3 linked regions of the Nothobranchius furzeri genome follow. The protein of the gene in region 1 binds, or shares a complex with, the protein of each later gene. Links are inferred from orthologs where the notes say so. Each region holds a gene or a part of one and is shown in the gene's direction. Other genes may lie near its edges.

Region 1 (6,005 bases):
CCGAGAGGCTGCAGGCGCATCAGTGAGTTTGCGGCCGCTGTGCAGGGGGAGGGGGGAGAGGGCTGAAGCAGAAACTACCGTTGTTAAAAGAAATGTGTTTAACTTTGAAAATGTGGGTGCAATTTTAATTGTCAAAAACTCCAGCGAACCATTAGTTCATTTTGCTCAAATAGAAATAGAGGCCTGCCTCAAATTCTGGCCCTCCTTCCAATAAAGGCCTGGGGCTTGGTGAGCTTGAGTCAAATACAGGCCCGGGCCTGTATTAGAGGATTTACGGTATGTTAGGACTCCCTGTGGAATTGAAATTACGTAACCTGATTTTAAGAAACAGGATACAGGTCAACAGGGTGCACCCAAGAGATTTAAAAGGATGTACACTTTGGCCAAGTGATTAGAATATCGTATGTTAAATGTTTTTTGGTGTATTGAGTGTTTTTTTTTCTTTTCATTATTGTTAAACTGTGTTTTTAACTACTCAATTCAGTTAGTAAAATTTGGGTTGTTTAGAAAAAATCATCTTCTGGTTTTTGAGTCTGACTAAAACACACCACTGTGCTCCTATGTCCGAACCTACTGGTCCATCATCATAATTGGTAAATACAGAGGTGTTACACCAGTCTGTACCTGCGTAGGCGTACCTAACTTGCTTGTCTCCGCTTCAATCAGTCAGAATCTATTTCAGCGAGGCGCCGAAGCAGCAAACCTGTCACACTTAATGCTCACAAAGACCGACAGGCAAAGAAATTGTAATACAGCCCACATATCAAATTAAGCACAGCCAATTCAATCCCTCAAAGCTCACTTTTCTGCTGTATTTGATCAGAACGATCCTACACACTCAATTAAGTGTGATTTAGTTTTAATTGTAGGATTTACAGTGAAGCACGTACCACACATCCCACTCGTTAAACAGGTGCCCATTAGTGGAATTGTAACTTGATTTATCATACTCTCTTTATGCGTTTTCTATTGTTCTACGTAAGATTGTTTTTTATACTGTACCTGAAAAACAATGCAAGAAATGAATTACTAAACAGAACCAGGTGTGAAGTCTTTAACTGCAGAAACAATTAAACAACTCTTGGTGTTTGGGCTAAAGCCACTGTGTGCATTTTAGAACATCCCTAGGTCAAATTTAGGTGGAAAAATGCTTAATTTCTTCAAGAAGAAAGCATCAACACAGCCAGTCACGTGATCGTAAGGTTGCAGGTTCCATCCCAGCTCCAACCAGAAAGGGCTGCTGTTGTGTCCTTGGGCAAGACGCTTAACCTGCCTGTATCAAGTATTAGGAAGAAAAAAAACTTCACAAATCAGAAACAAATAATTTATCGTAAAATAAATTATTTCAAAAAGCATCAGGTATCAGGAAATAAACTTCAAACAAAAAAAACAACTATAATTAACTAAAACCCACCACGCTTCATAAAGTGTCAAATGAAAATAATAAATAAAACAATTAAAACATCTGTTTGACAAAAGCCTCAACTATTAGGAATAAATGTACCAATACATTAAAAAACATATCAAAATAATATGGGTCCAGGATAAAATCAGAGATCAAAAATACAGAATCAATTATGAAATGTTGTGTTTGTCCCGATACTTGAAGTTTCTCCATGATACCTGATGTCTCTTGTTCTGGTGCAGTTTAGCTTGATCTGCAACACGATTTCCTTTGTGCCTTTTCATATAAAGATCTAAAATGTTCTACAACGGACTTCGAGAGACTCTGAACAAATGTTTAAAATTAAATCTAAATATATTAACCAGTGTGTGAATGTGTGTGTGAATGGGTGCATGACCCTTGGGGGGGTTGTAGAACCCTAAGAAGGTGCTATACAAAAACAGGTTACTTACCATAAAATATAAAACCCAGGAATGTCAGTAGCATGGAAAGACAACGGGGGCTTAGCCCGCAGGGTTGTGGAATGGAACTGGCACGTACTGACAGCCAAAAGAATCAGGGGAGTGTCCAGGGGGTGGCCTGGGGTAGCAAATGCCACCCTTGGAATCTGATTGGCCACCCCAGGGGCCACCACACTGAATTCACTTTAAATTGGCTTTTCATTGTTCACAAAAGGCTTGGGGTAAAACAAAAAAATGAAATAAGCATAACCATTGGTGCCACCCATGTACAAAGTAGTGCCTCACCTGGGCCACCCCATTTTCAAAGATCTGGACACGCCACTGAAAAGGATGTGTTATAATTAGAGTTTGTAGAAATTTTTAAGTGCGCACCTGAACCTTATAGATATAGTTTGTGACACGATGAGAATTACTGCCTTGGGGTAATTTTTCGGGGGATCTGAAGCCCACCCTAAATAGGCACAATGATGTCCATTATAAAATTTGTCCACCAAGCACAGCTGATTGGGCGACGGTGGCACAGGAGTTAAGCGCTCGCCCCGTAACCGGAAGGTTGCAGGTTCGAGCCCCGCTCAGTCTCTCTCTGTCGTTGTGTCCTTGGGCAAGACACTTAACCCACGTTGCCTGCTGGTGGTGGTCGGAGGGACCGGTGGCGCCAGTGCTCGGCAGCCTCGCCTCTGTCAGTGCGCCCCAGGGCAGCTGTGGCTACATCGTAGCTCATCACCATCAGTGTGTGAATGTTTGTGTGAATGGGTGAATGACTGATTGTGTTGTAAAGCGCCTTGGGGGGTTCCAGGACTCTAGAAGGCGCTATATCAAATACAGGCCATTTACCATTTACCATTTTGTTTTGACAAAACAATGCAATTGAACAGTCATGTAAACTTAACGCACTGAAGTGACTATTTATAATCCCAAATCACACAGATTTTAAACACCAGGCGTATGGCCATTGAGTATCTAATATAAATATCTATAATTGTGCTGAAGGAAAATCCCCATTGGGTAACTGACCGTCTTCACGCTCTGTGATTGGCCAGTCATATAGGGCGCCTGCCCCTCCCTACACACAAAACTCTGCAGCCCCAGTCCGGCCCATGCATCCACACACACACACACACAGATGGTAACGGATCTCTCTGTGCTTGCATCTCTGTTGCTCACGTTTCTTCAGAACTCCTTAGGTTTTCTTCAGCTCACCTCTTTTTCGGTTTAATATTTAAAGTTACTTTTTCGTAACGTACGTGGTGCATTTGACAAGACAGAGCTGAAAACGGCTCGTGCTGAATCGCTCACTGCCTCCACTCGGGTTTCTCTCTCTCTCTCTCTCTCTCTCTCTCTCTCTCTCTCTCTCTCTCTCTCTCTCTCTCTCTGTGTCTGTCTGTCTGTCTGTCTGTCTCTCTCTTTATGTATTAATTCATGCATTTAAATATTAATGTTCTAATTTAATTGAAAAACTTGTTCTGTAACAGTTCCTTTACTATTGTGATAAAAAATATTTAATCTGAATTCTGAGGCTGCTCTGTAAATAGTTTTCAAATAAACAATACACATAGCAACTTTTGATCATTCCATATCAATGTCAGACTTAAAATAATGTATAGATGTAAACCACACCCACTTCCGGGTTAGGCCACGCCCACTCCGAGTACAGATACAGATAATTTAGATGGTTGAACAGTAGGGATGTGAATCTTACCCCCAAATTCCACTACCTCCGCTCCCCACCTTCCGCAGCCGCTCGCTTCCGAACTCAATTTTTACTGGTACCCGCTCTACAACGGCTCCGCTCCATTGTGGAGACCTGAGGTGCGCAAACAAGCATGCGCAGGATTTTCGAGATCCTGCGATACAGTCCGAGCAGTAAACGCGGAAGTTAGATCCAAACACCTGTTGTGTGGGAGAAGCATCTGCATGAGCTGTTTAATCTGCCCATCATTTGTGTTGAGAGATCAGCAGTGTTTGGATCAACAAAGTGTGTCTACTTTGATAGTGGAAACTGTATTCATAGCTTACTTTTGTGCATTTAAAGTTCAACCGCCACTGATAGTTGTTAAAAGTTGTTAAACCTGTGCATATGAATCAAAAAACACTTTTTGTTTATCGATTTATTGTTAAATAACGGAAGTTGTGCTTGCTCCCTTTCCTGTTGGGCGGTTGTGATTCCTGTCCATTGACTGCGGAGGTGCTCCGGCGTCCGGCAAAAATAGGATCGATTCTATTTTTGCCGGACGCCGGAACAGAGGGCGGCGCACTGCCGCAGCACGGCTGCAGTAGTGGAATAGCTCTGATTGACTACAACGGGACCGATTTTGCTGCGGAGTTCGTGGCGGAGCGGAGGTAGTGGAATTTGGGGGTTAGAGCAACTCACGATTTGATTTGATTCTGATTCTTGGGGTGCTGATTCGATTCAGAATTGGTTCTCGATTCTCAATTTAAATCGATTCACAGTCAGTATTAACAAAGAGTGTCAACTCCAGGATTAACTACTTTGTTGTACAAGTTAGTTAAAGCTATGGGACACTGGTCATGCTCCAAAAATGCAAATTTACAATGTAAAATAAAGTGATTCTAAAACTGTAAACAGAAGCAATCTTTTGACCAAAAGGCAACATTTATTTTTGCTTATCTTGTAAAATATAACAAATCTGTAGATCTCAAACCTGTAACATGCCAAATATTTGAGTTCTTGAAATCGATTCGGAACCTTTGTGAATCGATTCTGAATGTTTATAAATAAGAATCCCGATTCAGACTTGAATCGACTTTTTTTTCAGCACCTCTAATGAACAGATACAGATAGTGGTGTACTTGCTCATCCCTAGTATCTAATAGTTTCTACAGTACAGGACTGATCAGGCAAATGAAATCTTCCGACTGATTTCCCCACATGCAGCCATGCCGTAATCATAGAATCATTTCTGCAGGGTCTAGGGCAAATCCGTTTCAAAATGAAACTGGTGTAAGAATCGTGGAGTGATGCTTCAAGTTTTATTCTTGAAGTACTTCATGTTTTACTGTCAGGGAAAATATACGGAAAACAGGATTTTTGTTGTCTTCATGTTCACGAATCTTTCTCTGGGTGTTTGTTGTTTCTTTTTGCAGGTCTCGCAACACAACTCCAGTGTGTTCTGGCCTCCAGGCTCAGATTTTATCCTGCTACAAGGACAACAAGGAGCAGACTCTAAGGTGCTCAGACCTGGCTAAGGAGTACATGCAGTGTATACATGCTGCAAAGAAGGTAAGAGACTTTAGGTATCTGTAAGAACCTGATCATTCAGATAACATCTCCCCATCATTGAAGCCTTGAATTTACATTAAATGAACACCATTTGCTTCTAACTAGATTATCTTGGAACCAAAAGTTTAAAAACTAAATGAAAGTGCCTTTTTATATAGTCAAAGAACCACACTTTCTAGTGGAGGTGTTCTGATTTAGAGCAGCACATACCCTTTGTGTTCTTTTTTTGTGTCGACGTTAAGGGGCACAAGGCGGTAAAAAGTTATAATTGCTAGGATTTTGAGTGTTGCGTCTCAAGGTTTTTACACACAGAAATCCTGTTATTGAAAACAGATTTCAGAGCGAAAGTCTAAGTTCAAAAACTTAAGTTCTTCCACTCGACTTGAGTTGTTTCCCCACGACTTTAAACTGACAACAGTGTGGTTGCTTTAAAATAAGTTCACCTCGTCTCTACAGACGGGTGTTGGGGCTAATTTTAGGTTGTGTTTGACAAAAAATTAAAGCGTGGGATGAACAGAAAATATGATCACTCAAGATAACGATGAGTTTAAAGCAAGATGTTTTCCCAGATGGTGTCATTCGATGTTTTTCCGAATATTTTCCTCAGCAATGCAGTGGATATGTGTAACAGAAGAAAATCTAAAACTGGAATGTAGGAGCATTGCAATTTTCATTTCTTTATTTGTGTTAATTTAAACAGTTTGGCTCCAGGCTGTGGTCACTTAAAGAAGATCATGTTAGAAAGTGTATTTCTAAATCCAGTTTAATTTATATTTTATTACGTTTAATCTATTAAATCTGCATCTATTGGCTCAACTTTTAGTCACTGTCCGTTTTCGCAGCAGCAGATTAGTGTAATTGTTTTTTTGTCTGATTTGCTTCTCATATTTACTTCCGT
Region 2 (5,723 bases), on another chromosome or scaffold:
CAGGCTGGGGCCGACTGGGGCTACCCGGCCCGGTACAGATGGGAATGGCCCATTACAGTCATGTTTTTGGACTGTGGGAGGAAGCCGGAGAACCTGGAGAGAACCCAAGCATGCACAGGGAGAACATGCAACCTCCATGCAGAAAGATCCCAGGCCGGGAGGCAAACTCAGGACCTTCTTGCTGCAAGGCAACAGCTCTAACCACTGCGCCACTGCGCAGCCCCTGTTTAGAGTCAGTCAGCACATACAGAGCTGTAAAGATAAGCCAATCAGACCTTTAGGTTTAATGATATTTGGACTTATGGAGAACAGAAAAAACAAGACCCTATGGGTTTGGATTGTGGTGACCTAATTTTTGCTTATCGTTACGTCCCCGACAGGAGGTGTTAAAAAGTGAAGGAGGGGGTAACATAAGAAACATGATGGTGGGTTTAAAATGGGTCTAATCGTTATAAAGATTCTAAAAACAAGTGCAAACAGATGGAAGGCGTTATTCAAATAATGCCAAACAAAAAACTAAGACTAAAAGGTTATTTAAAGGACCACTTATCAACATTGAAACACCTGGTTTAAACTTTGTTAAAAGTTTTACCAAAACAGGAGTTTTAAAAAACACAAGTTGATAATAAGAACTACAAAAACAGAGCGTCTTAAAATCTCAAAGTCGGTAAACTGCGATGTTAACCTTAGAACGGAGTCAACCACGATGACATCAAACTAAGATCCCTTTAGATTACTCAGAGTTAAAACTTTTGAAGTCAAAACTCATCAGAAACAAAGGGGTTGAAATCAAAATGAGGCCTGGAGGACAGCAGAACCCCTGCACTGCTGCCTTCCAGACTGCTGAAGGCACAGCCTTTTTATCCAGATGTTGGTCATCAGAAGGATTCAGCTCAGCTGTGCTCCTCAGCAGCCTGGAAGAGAGGAGGGGGGGGGGGGGTCGGTGTCGGGCTGATCACCGGGGCTGGGTGATCCTGGCTCCTCCAACTGAAGAGGCCAGGCAGGTGGCCATAACACTTAACAATAACATAGTGCATCCTTGTGGTGGATGTTTTATTTAGTCACATGCAGAAAGCTGGTTTTCACAAATTATTCGCTCATTTTATGCTTCAACTCCCAAATGTGCTCAAAAGTCATGAAACATTTGCTATAATTTTACACAATGATACTTCTGTTTAGCGTTGAGTAAAGGGGAAGCAGGGGTTCATCACCAAAGAAATCCATCTTAATATTTGTATAACATGTTTTGTACTTTATATTACACAAGAGTTTCTGGTCTGACCATTTCTGACATTTGATCACACATGTATAGGTGTTGAACCTGTATCTTTTGAACTGTTATCTGAATTTCAAATTCAGATAACAGTATATATATATATATATATATATATATATATATATATATATATATATATATATATATATATATATATATACATATATAGTGTCCTAGTGCAGTGATGCGGGCATTGTACTGGTCTGTTGTGGTGAAGAGAGAGCTGAGCTGGAAGGCAAAGCTCTCAATTAATCAGGCGATCTAAGTTCCTATCCTCACCTATGGTCAGGAGCTTTGGGTAGGGACCGAAAGAACAAGATCGCAAATACAAGCGGTTGAAATTCGTTTTCTCAACAAGGTGGCTGGGCTCTCCCTTAGAGGTTAGAAGCTCGGTTATCCGGGAGGGGCTTGGAGTAGACCCACTGCTCCTCCACATCGAGAGGAGCCAGTTGAGGTGGCTTGGCATCTGGTCAGAATGCCTCCTGGATGCCTCCCTGGTGAGATTTTCCAGTCACGTCCAACTGGGAGGAGATCTAAAGGGAATACCCAGGACACATTGGAAGGACTATGTCTCTTGGCTGGCCAAGGAACACCTTGGGATTCCCCTGGAGCAGCTGGCCCAAGTAGCTGGGAAGAGGGAAGTCTGGGCCTCTCGGCTTAGGCTGGTTCCCCCGCGATCCGACCACGGATAAGCGGTTGAAAATTGATGTATGGATGTATTTGAATCCCATCCACCAGTCTTCCTGGGGCTTAATGTACCCTGTGCACTGTGGGAGGGTTCAAGACTAGATTTTGTAGTCTAAATAATATATTCATTTGGATATACAATAGGTTAGGTAATAGGAGAAATACATTTAGATGTTTAATGTATCCCTCCAGATGGTCAGACAAGAACATATTTGCTTGTCCAAACAGAATTAAACCGTAATTGTCCAAAAAAGTTCCAAACAAGATATTTTAATCCTTATATTGTGTTAAATATTCCTAGTTTCTGTAACCTCACTTTAGGTTAACATTAGGAGAAACTAATTACCTATGTAGAAAATGTTTACAGTTCTTGTGAACACATAACATGCATTAAAAAAGACATTACTGCACTCTGAAGTTGGTTAAAAAATGCCCCCCCCCCCCCCCCCCCAAAAAAAAACCCACACCAAACATTACTGGTTTTAAAATCCACACCAAATGACGTTTTTACAATTATTCTTAAATTTACCTGGATCAAAACTTGGCGCAGTCCATTTGACAGCAAAATAAGCTACAGAAATGCTCCCTATCAGGATTTTTGCAAATGGTCCCATGTGTGTAAACTCGCTATAAGTCTCAGAAAACTTCCTAGCTGTGTTATAAAAGTCTGCCTTCACTTTCATGATGTGAAGGAGGTGCCATTTATGTAACATCCCCCCTCTCTCTCTCACTCACTCACTCACTCTCTCTATTTTGCGCTTCTCCCGAGATCAAATTATAACATATTTAAATATGTAACATTTCTTATAGTAACTTAAAAAGAACATTTATATTTAACCTGCACACCATTTTTATTTTCATTTTGCTTACATACAATTTTACAAAAGGAATAAAGTGGGATAGAAAAGAACGAATCTGCCGCTGAGAAAAAAGCGTTGGGGTTTCAAAAAACAACTTTATTGACAAAAACAGAGCTAACGCTGCAATGTCCTTCAGTGCAGCCCTATGTCGATGGTGCAGCCTAGCGGTGAAGTTAGATTCGCTGTTTGGAGTCTTGGTAAAAACAGCTTATAAAGAGAAGTTACACAGCTGTGGACCATGGCGGCAAGGATTTTGCCTTTACTCAAGTTCGTATATTTTAATTCACTGTTAAGTTTCGTTTAAGTTTTAGTGGTAAGTGACCTGAATGCTTGATTAGCTTGTGAGCTAGCATGCTACGGCATTTATCCGTTTACTGTATTGAGATTTCAAGCTGTTATTTTCCGATACTTTACTAACTAAATTGTCGCCGAGGATCCAATCAAATATTGCTTCATATGCGATTTTTCATGAATGTTTTGTTGAGTTGCTGATATTGCTTGATCAACGCAGAATTTAAGATCTCCCTGCTTTATTACTTAATAAGCAATGTTTTAATTTTAAGGTGGTGCTTTTGAGTGTGGTAAATGTTACGTGGCTGGGTGGTTTTGGCTTACGGTGTGGCTGATCTTTCATTTGCAGACTGGCCACCAAGGTGACCATTGCAGGAGGCGCTGTTTACGTCGCCTGTGACTCGGGTCTGCTGGGAACCAGCGAACAGGGCTCAGAGGCTCTGGAGAAGGCCAGAGCTGCTATACCACCCGCCATCGAGGAATGGATGAAGTATTTTGGTCTGGAGGTAGAGATGAAATTACACTTTTAGGCGATCACACACATTTTGACATGTTTAAACTGTAGAAACTGAATTCCAGCTACAGCCTCTGCACAAGACTTTGTGGGCGATGCATCATATGTGAAATTAAGCCTTATGTTTAATTGTGTACATCATTTTTTTCTTCTTTCCTCTGTTCCTAGGCTCAGGTTCCAGCCATACCTAAAATTGAAATTTCCCCTGTTGAAGCATGGAATTCTGGTAAGAACCTAGTAAGAATAAGAATACCTTTATTAGTCCCTCAGAGGGTTAATTGCAATATTGCAATGGCTCAGGTACAGCAGGACTTTTTCTTTAATAAAGTGAATTTACCAACAAAAACCTTAGAATATTATCCAGTTTCAGTGATCATTTCATTTGGAATCAAGTATTCTTTAACAACAGTTATTTCTTCTATCACAGGGGTGCGGTGGACAATTTCAAGCCTCTCAGAGGCTCCAACTAAAGCATCTGAATACGCAAGTCAGGGAGTGCAGTACGCAAAAGACCTCATCAAATGAACAAGAACTTTCTGAGTAACCTCATTTATCTATTCACTTGACTTTTGCACTTGTAAATCCTTAAGTCGTCCCCTTTCCTGAACAAAACAGCTTATTTAAATTCAGCTGCAAAAGAGATCTCGGCTGTTTTGTTGAGAGTTGTTGGAAGGATACTGTACATAAAGCAGAACTTTGGTTTATTTCAGTTGTCCAGTAGAGTTGGATACCACCCAGATGTCAAACTGTCCAAAATAATGTAAAAAAAAGTTAATTTCTGCTGTGTGTGTGTATGTATGTATGCGTGCAATCTCACTATTTGCAATAAAATCATTCTGAAAACATTCTCAGGCTTGTTTGGTTTATTTAGTTAAACTTAATTTACAGTGTGCTGATTATAGCTGTGTTCAAAGTGAAGAACCAAACTAATGTGCAAAAATGTTTATTACAACAGAATATTATGACATGGGCAGTCAGTCTGCTACAATTTTGGAACAAGGAGCGAAAATGGAAGCATGAAGTATTTTTGACAAAAGCACAACTAGCAATGACGCTCAGTGTTAACCTTTGTTTTGAATGCATGTACAGAATTGTTTCTAGCACATCAAACATTTTCAAAACCTTCAGGCACTGTTAAGGTGATAAAATAACATAAACAAAATGTTTTCTCAAAGATGCAATAAATTAAAAGATTGTGAGGTCAACACACATTTAGCATCAACTGGAAAAAGAGCTTTTTGTAAGACAACTTACTACAAATTTGTTAGCTCATCAGATTGTGAAAATACATTTAGTTCTTAATTATAGGTGTCTTAATGATTTGTTCACAAGAGACTCAGATTTTAGGGAGAAATTTTTCTAAATGAAAATAGTCACAAGCAACATTATTGGGATTTAAACAAATTTTTACAGATTAAATATAATCTGAATGTATTGCAGCACTGTCTTTGTTTCCTTCATGCACATCACTTAAAGCATATTTCTGCCACTTTTGTCCTTTTGGAACATCCAGTGGAAACTAAGACTGTACAACAACCTAGCTATGTAAACTTTATACAATAAAGTGCTGCCCACAACATCGACAGTGACATTACACAGGCATTATGATCCATTTGAAGAACATGTTCAACATAAAGGGGAGAACCATGCTGCTGTTGAAAACTGATGCTTGCAGAACTGTCCTAAATGAAAACTAGATGGCAGCCTTCAGTTGCAGCAATAAAGAGAAATTGTATTTACAATATTGCCAAATTGACAAGCCTAAAGGCACTTTTTGAATTGTGTGTATTCAAATACTAAATTAGTTACTAAATAGCAAGCACAATAGTGCTATTAACTTTAACATTCAGAAAGACTTAAACTTTTCTTAACAGTCTCCTTAAGAAAAGCGACTTTTGATTCATATACTAAATTATGTGGCCAACCAGGTAAAGTTGTAGTGCTAAATGTGGTGCAAAGATGCAGATCGTTGGCATCTGACTTTAAAGAGGTCTGATTAAAGTGATCTTGTGAGGCTGTTTTCTTAAACCCTTTCTAGTGCTAACAATAAATTAAAGCTTTTATTCCAAACACTTTGTGTTTTAGCTTATTGACT
Region 3 (5,493 bases), on another chromosome or scaffold:
ACCCCCGTCACCCCAACCCAAGACCCAAGCCGATCCAATAAAATATGGTGATCGACCGTATCAAAAGCCGCTGAAAGGTCCAGCTGGAGCAGCAGTACCGTAGACCCAGAGTCAGATGCCACCAGAATGTCATTTAGCACCCTAATCAAAGCAGACTCAGTGCTATGGTTTGGTCTACGTATTAGTGGCTCTGCCCTCTCGGTTTGCCAGGCAACAGCATTTGATGCATTTTTCAAACAGATGGTGGGAGTGGAGTAAGAGTCTTGTTAGGGGCTAACTTGTTCTTTTAAAGTAATTCAAGTAAATAAAAAAATTGTAGTTAAATAAAATAGTATCTAAAGTAAATTAATTTTGAAAAAGGTTCTTTAAACTCCTAAGAATATATCTTTGGATACTGTTAGACATTTTCAATATTTTCAGCTGTTGACCCTTTTCCAAGGGTTGTTGTTATTTCGCTTTAAAGCCACAGCCCAGGTCTAAACCCAAAAGATAAACCAGTGTTGTTTTTGAATATCAAACATCATAAAGATATTTAAAACTATATATGTAGGGCATATAGCTGCACAATTTATTACCATCTCCTTACAAATAGGAAATTGACGGGTAGAAGACAAGAATTAAATGCCATACATAATAAATACACCTGCTATTAAAGTGTTTACATGGTAGCTATCCAATGATTAATTTCACTTGCTTCAAAAGACAAAGCTGAGCTAAGATTAGCTGAGACTTCTGCATCTTTGCAGGTTGATTCTAACAGGTTATTTTTTACCATCATTAAACAGACTTATTGATAAAACTGACAGAAAACATAATTCAAAAGCATTTATTATCATTTCTCATCATAAAAGAGGACAATTGCTCCAAACATACTCTAAATATGTTCACAGAAAAGATTTACTTTGATCATTCGTTTTTCTTTTCATTGTGTAGGTAGGATACAGTGTATTTTGTGTTACGTTTGTGTTTCTCTGAATTCTTGAATCATTGTTGTTGTTTGTCACTGCATGTTGATGAAGTCCGTGGGTCGCTTCATCAGCAGTGTCACCTTCAGTTCCTGCTTTTCACTAAAGAACTGGGCCTTTCCCTCTTGACTGTGGATGGGATGGGGCAGATGGAGGCCCAGTTTGCTGAAAAAAAGAGAAAAGATGGGATAAAAAAAATACAGCTGGATGAAATGTTGAATTAATGAAGAAGGCACAAAAAGCAAAATGTCAACAGCTGAATGAAATGGTACTGAAAACTTAAAGGTGTGGAGCACTCATTTAAATTTGCAGTGGTGTTTAGTAGAAATGAACGCCTTGTAAGTTGTGCTCTGGGGAAGAAATCCTCAGGTGCACCAATTTTAGGAAGTAGAGGTGAGTTACATCACAGCTGAGCTTCAGACAGTAGGATTTGGACCCTTCCTGATATCTGGACAGCTCACCTATTGGATAACAGCAAAGCGACTCTACCACTGACTCCAATGCTGATGTTTTATCTGATAACAAAAGCCTGGAGGAGCTTCTGCTGTGTGGTGTAGTTGCTCATGCTAACAGTTAGCTTCTACTAGCCAAGACGTTCTCTGCTGTTTCCTGGGTGTTGAACCAACAACAGCCTTCCCCGTCATAAGACAAGATATGCGAGTGCGTCAATGATAAGTGACCGTGTGACGTAGAGCTGTCAGGATTTTCTAGTCATTTCAACTGTTTTCTATCAGAAGCTAAAGCAGGAGATTGGTGTAGGAGACTATTTTTATGTTCAGCCTGCATGAAAATCTTAGAGTTATAATCAGAAATAAGATTAAAAAAATTTCAGTGTTTCACACCTTTAATCAAATACCTAGACAGGGGAGCTTCAAGACTGAACTGCAGCTGCTCAGTCACCGGAAAATGAAAGTGAACATTTTCAAATGATCTCTTACTATTTTGGTGTTCGCAGATCAAGAAACGTTTCTTTAAGATCTAAAAAGACATCTGTTGCTTTAGTGTCTGGTAGTTTGATTTTCACCTGAATGTGGGAGAAAAGTATTTATGAAGAAACTGAATGTCATAGCCTTTGTGCATTTTGATTTCTTCTGTCAAATAGAAGTTTGATGACATACCTGCATTGCCTCACAGCACATGGACGATGGATTCTTCCTGCTTAATCCTAAGAACAGGTCCTCGGTTCCCACATTCTGCTTCAGGATAATTTCATATCTGCACACAGACATAACAAAACTGCCTTTCTTGTTCTCAAAATGTCCCATCAAATGAAGAAAGGGCCTGCCTTCTTTAAATTCGGTGGTCCAGGAGGTAGACCAGGTTCAACCCCAGCTTTATCCCAGCCACTCTGCCATTGTGTGTTAGAAAAATGCTTCACCCACCCTCCCTATCCAACTATTACTATTGTCTTACTCTGGTTGAGGCCGTGGATCTACCACATCATCATAATGGGCCCCCTCAGCCACCTCTTCTTCACTCCAGATTGCTTTGCAGTTCTTCATGTTGGAACTTGAAGCTAAACAGCAAAACAGGCTGAAATAGTTTGTGTACTGCTATAATTCAGAATAAATGTAGAGAACTACAAGTAAACAACTCACCTTCATCTGTTTTTGGCGGAGGTCCGATGTGTCCAGGGCCAAGCTGTGCACAGGCATCCGCATTCTGGTGAAAATATAATTTCTAGTATTTTAGCTCAAATCTAAATATAAGAATTATGCAGGCAGTTAGTACAGTCGGTATGAATTACTACAAAACGGTTGTGAATTTTAAACTTTTACTTTATAGTTTTCATCTTCCTCCTCCTGTTTGGATAACAGTGCAGACAGAGCCAGTAGGTCCTGCGCAGATGATCCTCCAAGATACGCCATTGGGAAAGCTTAAATCCTTTCAAAAAAACACCTCAAACCACAACATCTACAAATGCAAATGCTTATATAACAAACTTAGTTTAGAACTTCAGCTTATAACCGGCTAAACGGACGTTTGAGAGGTCAGTGTTGACGGTTTCTGGCGACGAGGCTATCCGGTTGCCCTGGCAACCACCAGACACTTCAAGAAACGGGGAGATGGGGATTTCTATATCCTGTATTTGCTATTGTGACTACAGCTGCGTAAAAATGCTATTTAATGTTGGCTATAATTTTCCCAATTGAATAATTTCATTTTATGTATATACCTGATGTTACATTTGAAAGTTTCGCGGTTCGTCAAATTTCTCAAGAAGGCGTCACGTGTAATGCCCCTCCGCAGTTGCCGTAGTGAATGCATGGCCTTGTTCAAGGTGACAGACAGAGAGCCATGCCGGGAGCGCCTCAACTGCCACCTTTCACCGTTTTTGCTGCTGGGGCTGCCGGTGGCGGAGAAAAGGAGACAACGGCGCCGTTGAGCCTGGACGAACTGTCTCTGTACGCGGCTCCTCAGCAGAACCGTCGGTATGCGGAGCCCGAAGCCGGGCAGCTGGAGGAGCGTGTCGCCACCTTCAGGAAGCTAGCAGAGCCATACTCGGCTTGGTGTTCGGGCACCTTCGACAAAATTAAACCCAAAGTTCAGAAGGTCGTCCAGTTCGGGAGTGACGCCTACGCTTGTCTGCAGAAACCTCCGAAGGACTTCTATCCTCGGGCGGGAATCATCGGCTTTGCCGGAATGCTCGGCTTGTTTCTGGCCAGAGGCTCCAGGGTGAAGAAGCTCCTCTACCCGGCGGGTTTCATGGCCGTAAGCGCCTCCCTTTACTACCCAGAGCAGGCGGCAGCCATCGCAAAGTCAACCGGAGACTCCGTCTACGACAGCGCGGTGCGGAGCTACGCTGCGCTAGAGAAGATCCTGAAAAACCCTCAAAGCAAGGATGCAAACGGGGACAAATCTAAACGCAACCCGTAGGCTTATGTTCAGCTGCTCAGCAATACCAGCCTGGTGGTGACAGGACTGGCTTTAGGGCTAGGGTTAGAGTCCCTCTCTGCACTTTGCTGTTACTCAGGCCGGCCATGCCCTGTCACATACTGGACCTGCTACTTGAATAATTAACCTCTGATTGTATATTTAAGTAAAAAATGAATCTGTGGGGCTTTGATTAAAAATCAGGTTTTAACACATTTTTCTGGTTTGCTTTGTGAAGTTTGAGTAGAGACCAAAGAAAACGAAAGCTGTTCTGGTTCTGTAATAGGAACCTGACTTATGATTGTTTTTGATAAGTTAAACTACATCTTGGAAATCCCAAAACCATGAGCTGTAAAACAAGCAACATGTTTTAAATGAATAAATGATCATTCTTTTGAATACTAGTTCCCATTTTGCATGTTTTGTTGTCACAAACTCACCTAAGGCAGTGCCAATGAAAACAAATAAATGACTGGTAACATCTTTATTTCTCTCGGCCAAAATTAAAAAAAAAAATTAAATATGATCTACAGAAATGTCCTCAGAGCAGCACCAGCTTCTCGTTTAGGGCAATCTGTGCTTGGGTCAGGTTGGACAGGTAGGTCACCATCAGCAGGTCCTGCAGCAATGACAGTATTTACATGATTACACCAGAATAAGCAACATATTTACAGTAATGCAAAGGGACAATAGAGGTAAGGCAAATGCAAGGTCTAACTGAAGTCAGTACAGTTGAGGATCTCTTACGTTGATGTTGGAATTAAGCATGTTCTCAAAGTCCTCAGCTGAGATGGTCGGCACCTTGTTGACCAGGTCCATGAGGAAGCGGCCCACGCTGTTATCTGCTGTCACTTTTCCTGACTGAGACAAACCAACCTTAATCTTACAGCCATGATCAGCGTTTTAATCAACACCAACTAAACGTTTTCTACAATGACTTAAAACACTAAATTAATTAGTATAAAGGTGTAAATAATAGTTTATTTTTAAAGTTCACTCACCAGTACGTCCTCGATGTATGCGAGAACAGTGGTCAGCATGTCCTGTATCCTGGCTGCAGCACCACCCACCTGAGACAGGTCAGAGGTCAGGCCCTTGGTACGTGTGGTAGCCAAACGTGTCCTCTGTAACAGATCCACTGGAACACACACGGAGTATGAAGTACGGTTAAAATCTACTAAAACGAGGCCGTTATTTTATTTATTCTCGGCACTCTTACTTCCTATCCTCTCTGTGTCATAGTGGATGTACTTGACAGTCAGTGGGGTGAACATAACACCAACTGTTTTTCCTGGTACACCCATCTGGGCACTAAAAGACACACACACAGGGTCACTCTCACTGTTGATCACATTAAAAGATTCATGGACAGGAAGCTCAGATGACCTGACGTAAGCGCGGATGTTCATTTTGCCGCTTTGCAGCGCCGTGTCCACTGTCAGGTGAATGGGGTTGGTGGCCTCACGGCTGTAGTACTCGTGGATGAGAACAGAGTGTTCAGTGATGTCGAACCCTGTGGCATACCTGTCAGGAAGAGTGCATTTGTTCAAGAATTTGGCTTCTCTTTAATATAAAATATATATATATATATATATATATATATATATATATATATATATATATATATATATATATATATATATATATATATATA

The links. Proteins that work in one complex are often made in the same cells at the same time.
Region 2: chchd6a (region 1) and micos13 share a complex: the UniProt entries of both Homo sapiens proteins name them as parts of the mitochondrial contact site and cristae organizing system (MICOS) complex. The link is inferred for Nothobranchius furzeri from reciprocal best matches to the Homo sapiens genes CHCHD6 and MICOS13.
Region 3: chchd6a (region 1) and MICOS complex subunit MIC26 share a complex: the UniProt entries of both Homo sapiens proteins name them as parts of the mitochondrial contact site and cristae organizing system (MICOS) complex. The link is inferred for Nothobranchius furzeri from reciprocal best matches to the Homo sapiens genes CHCHD6 and APOO.

What each region holds. Positions count from the first base shown.
Region 1 is NC_091755.1:50,941,737-50,947,741, reverse strand, and holds part of chchd6a (MICOS complex subunit mic25a), read left to right. Parts: intron 1-4,971; coding exon 4,972-5,107; intron 5,108-6,005. UniProt on the Homo sapiens protein: Component of the MICOS complex, a large protein complex of the mitochondrial inner membrane that plays crucial roles in the maintenance of crista junctions, inner membrane architecture, and formation of contact sites to the outer membrane.
Region 2 is NC_091748.1:50,417,578-50,423,300, reverse strand, and holds micos13 (MICOS complex subunit MIC13), read left to right. Parts: upstream 1-2,930; 5' UTR 2,931-3,061; coding exon 3,062-3,090; intron 3,091-3,463; coding exon 3,464-3,620; intron 3,621-3,796; coding exon 3,797-3,854; intron 3,855-4,055; coding exon 4,056-4,153; 3' UTR 4,154-4,473; downstream 4,474-5,723. Other genes in the region: hsd11b1la (hydroxysteroid 11-beta-dehydrogenase 1-like protein), read right to left, coding at 2,493-2,646. UniProt on the Homo sapiens protein: Component of the MICOS complex, a large protein complex of the mitochondrial inner membrane that plays crucial roles in the maintenance of crista junctions, inner membrane architecture, and formation of contact sites to the outer membrane.
Region 3 is NC_091751.1:40,247,045-40,252,537, reverse strand, and holds MICOS complex subunit MIC26, read left to right. Parts: upstream 1-3,029; 5' UTR 3,030-3,227; coding exon 3,228-3,842; 3' UTR 3,843-4,243; downstream 4,244-5,493. Other genes in the region: dnaaf6 (dynein axonemal assembly factor 6), read right to left, coding at 1,001-1,130, 1,904-1,989, 2,084-2,180, 2,379-2,481, 2,564-2,627, 2,744-2,833; eif3f (eukaryotic translation initiation factor 3 subunit F), read right to left, coding at 4,381-4,458, 4,587-4,700, 4,841-4,977, 5,059-5,150, 5,226-5,363. UniProt on the Homo sapiens protein: Component of the MICOS complex, a large protein complex of the mitochondrial inner membrane that plays crucial roles in the maintenance of crista junctions, inner membrane architecture, and formation of contact sites to the outer membrane.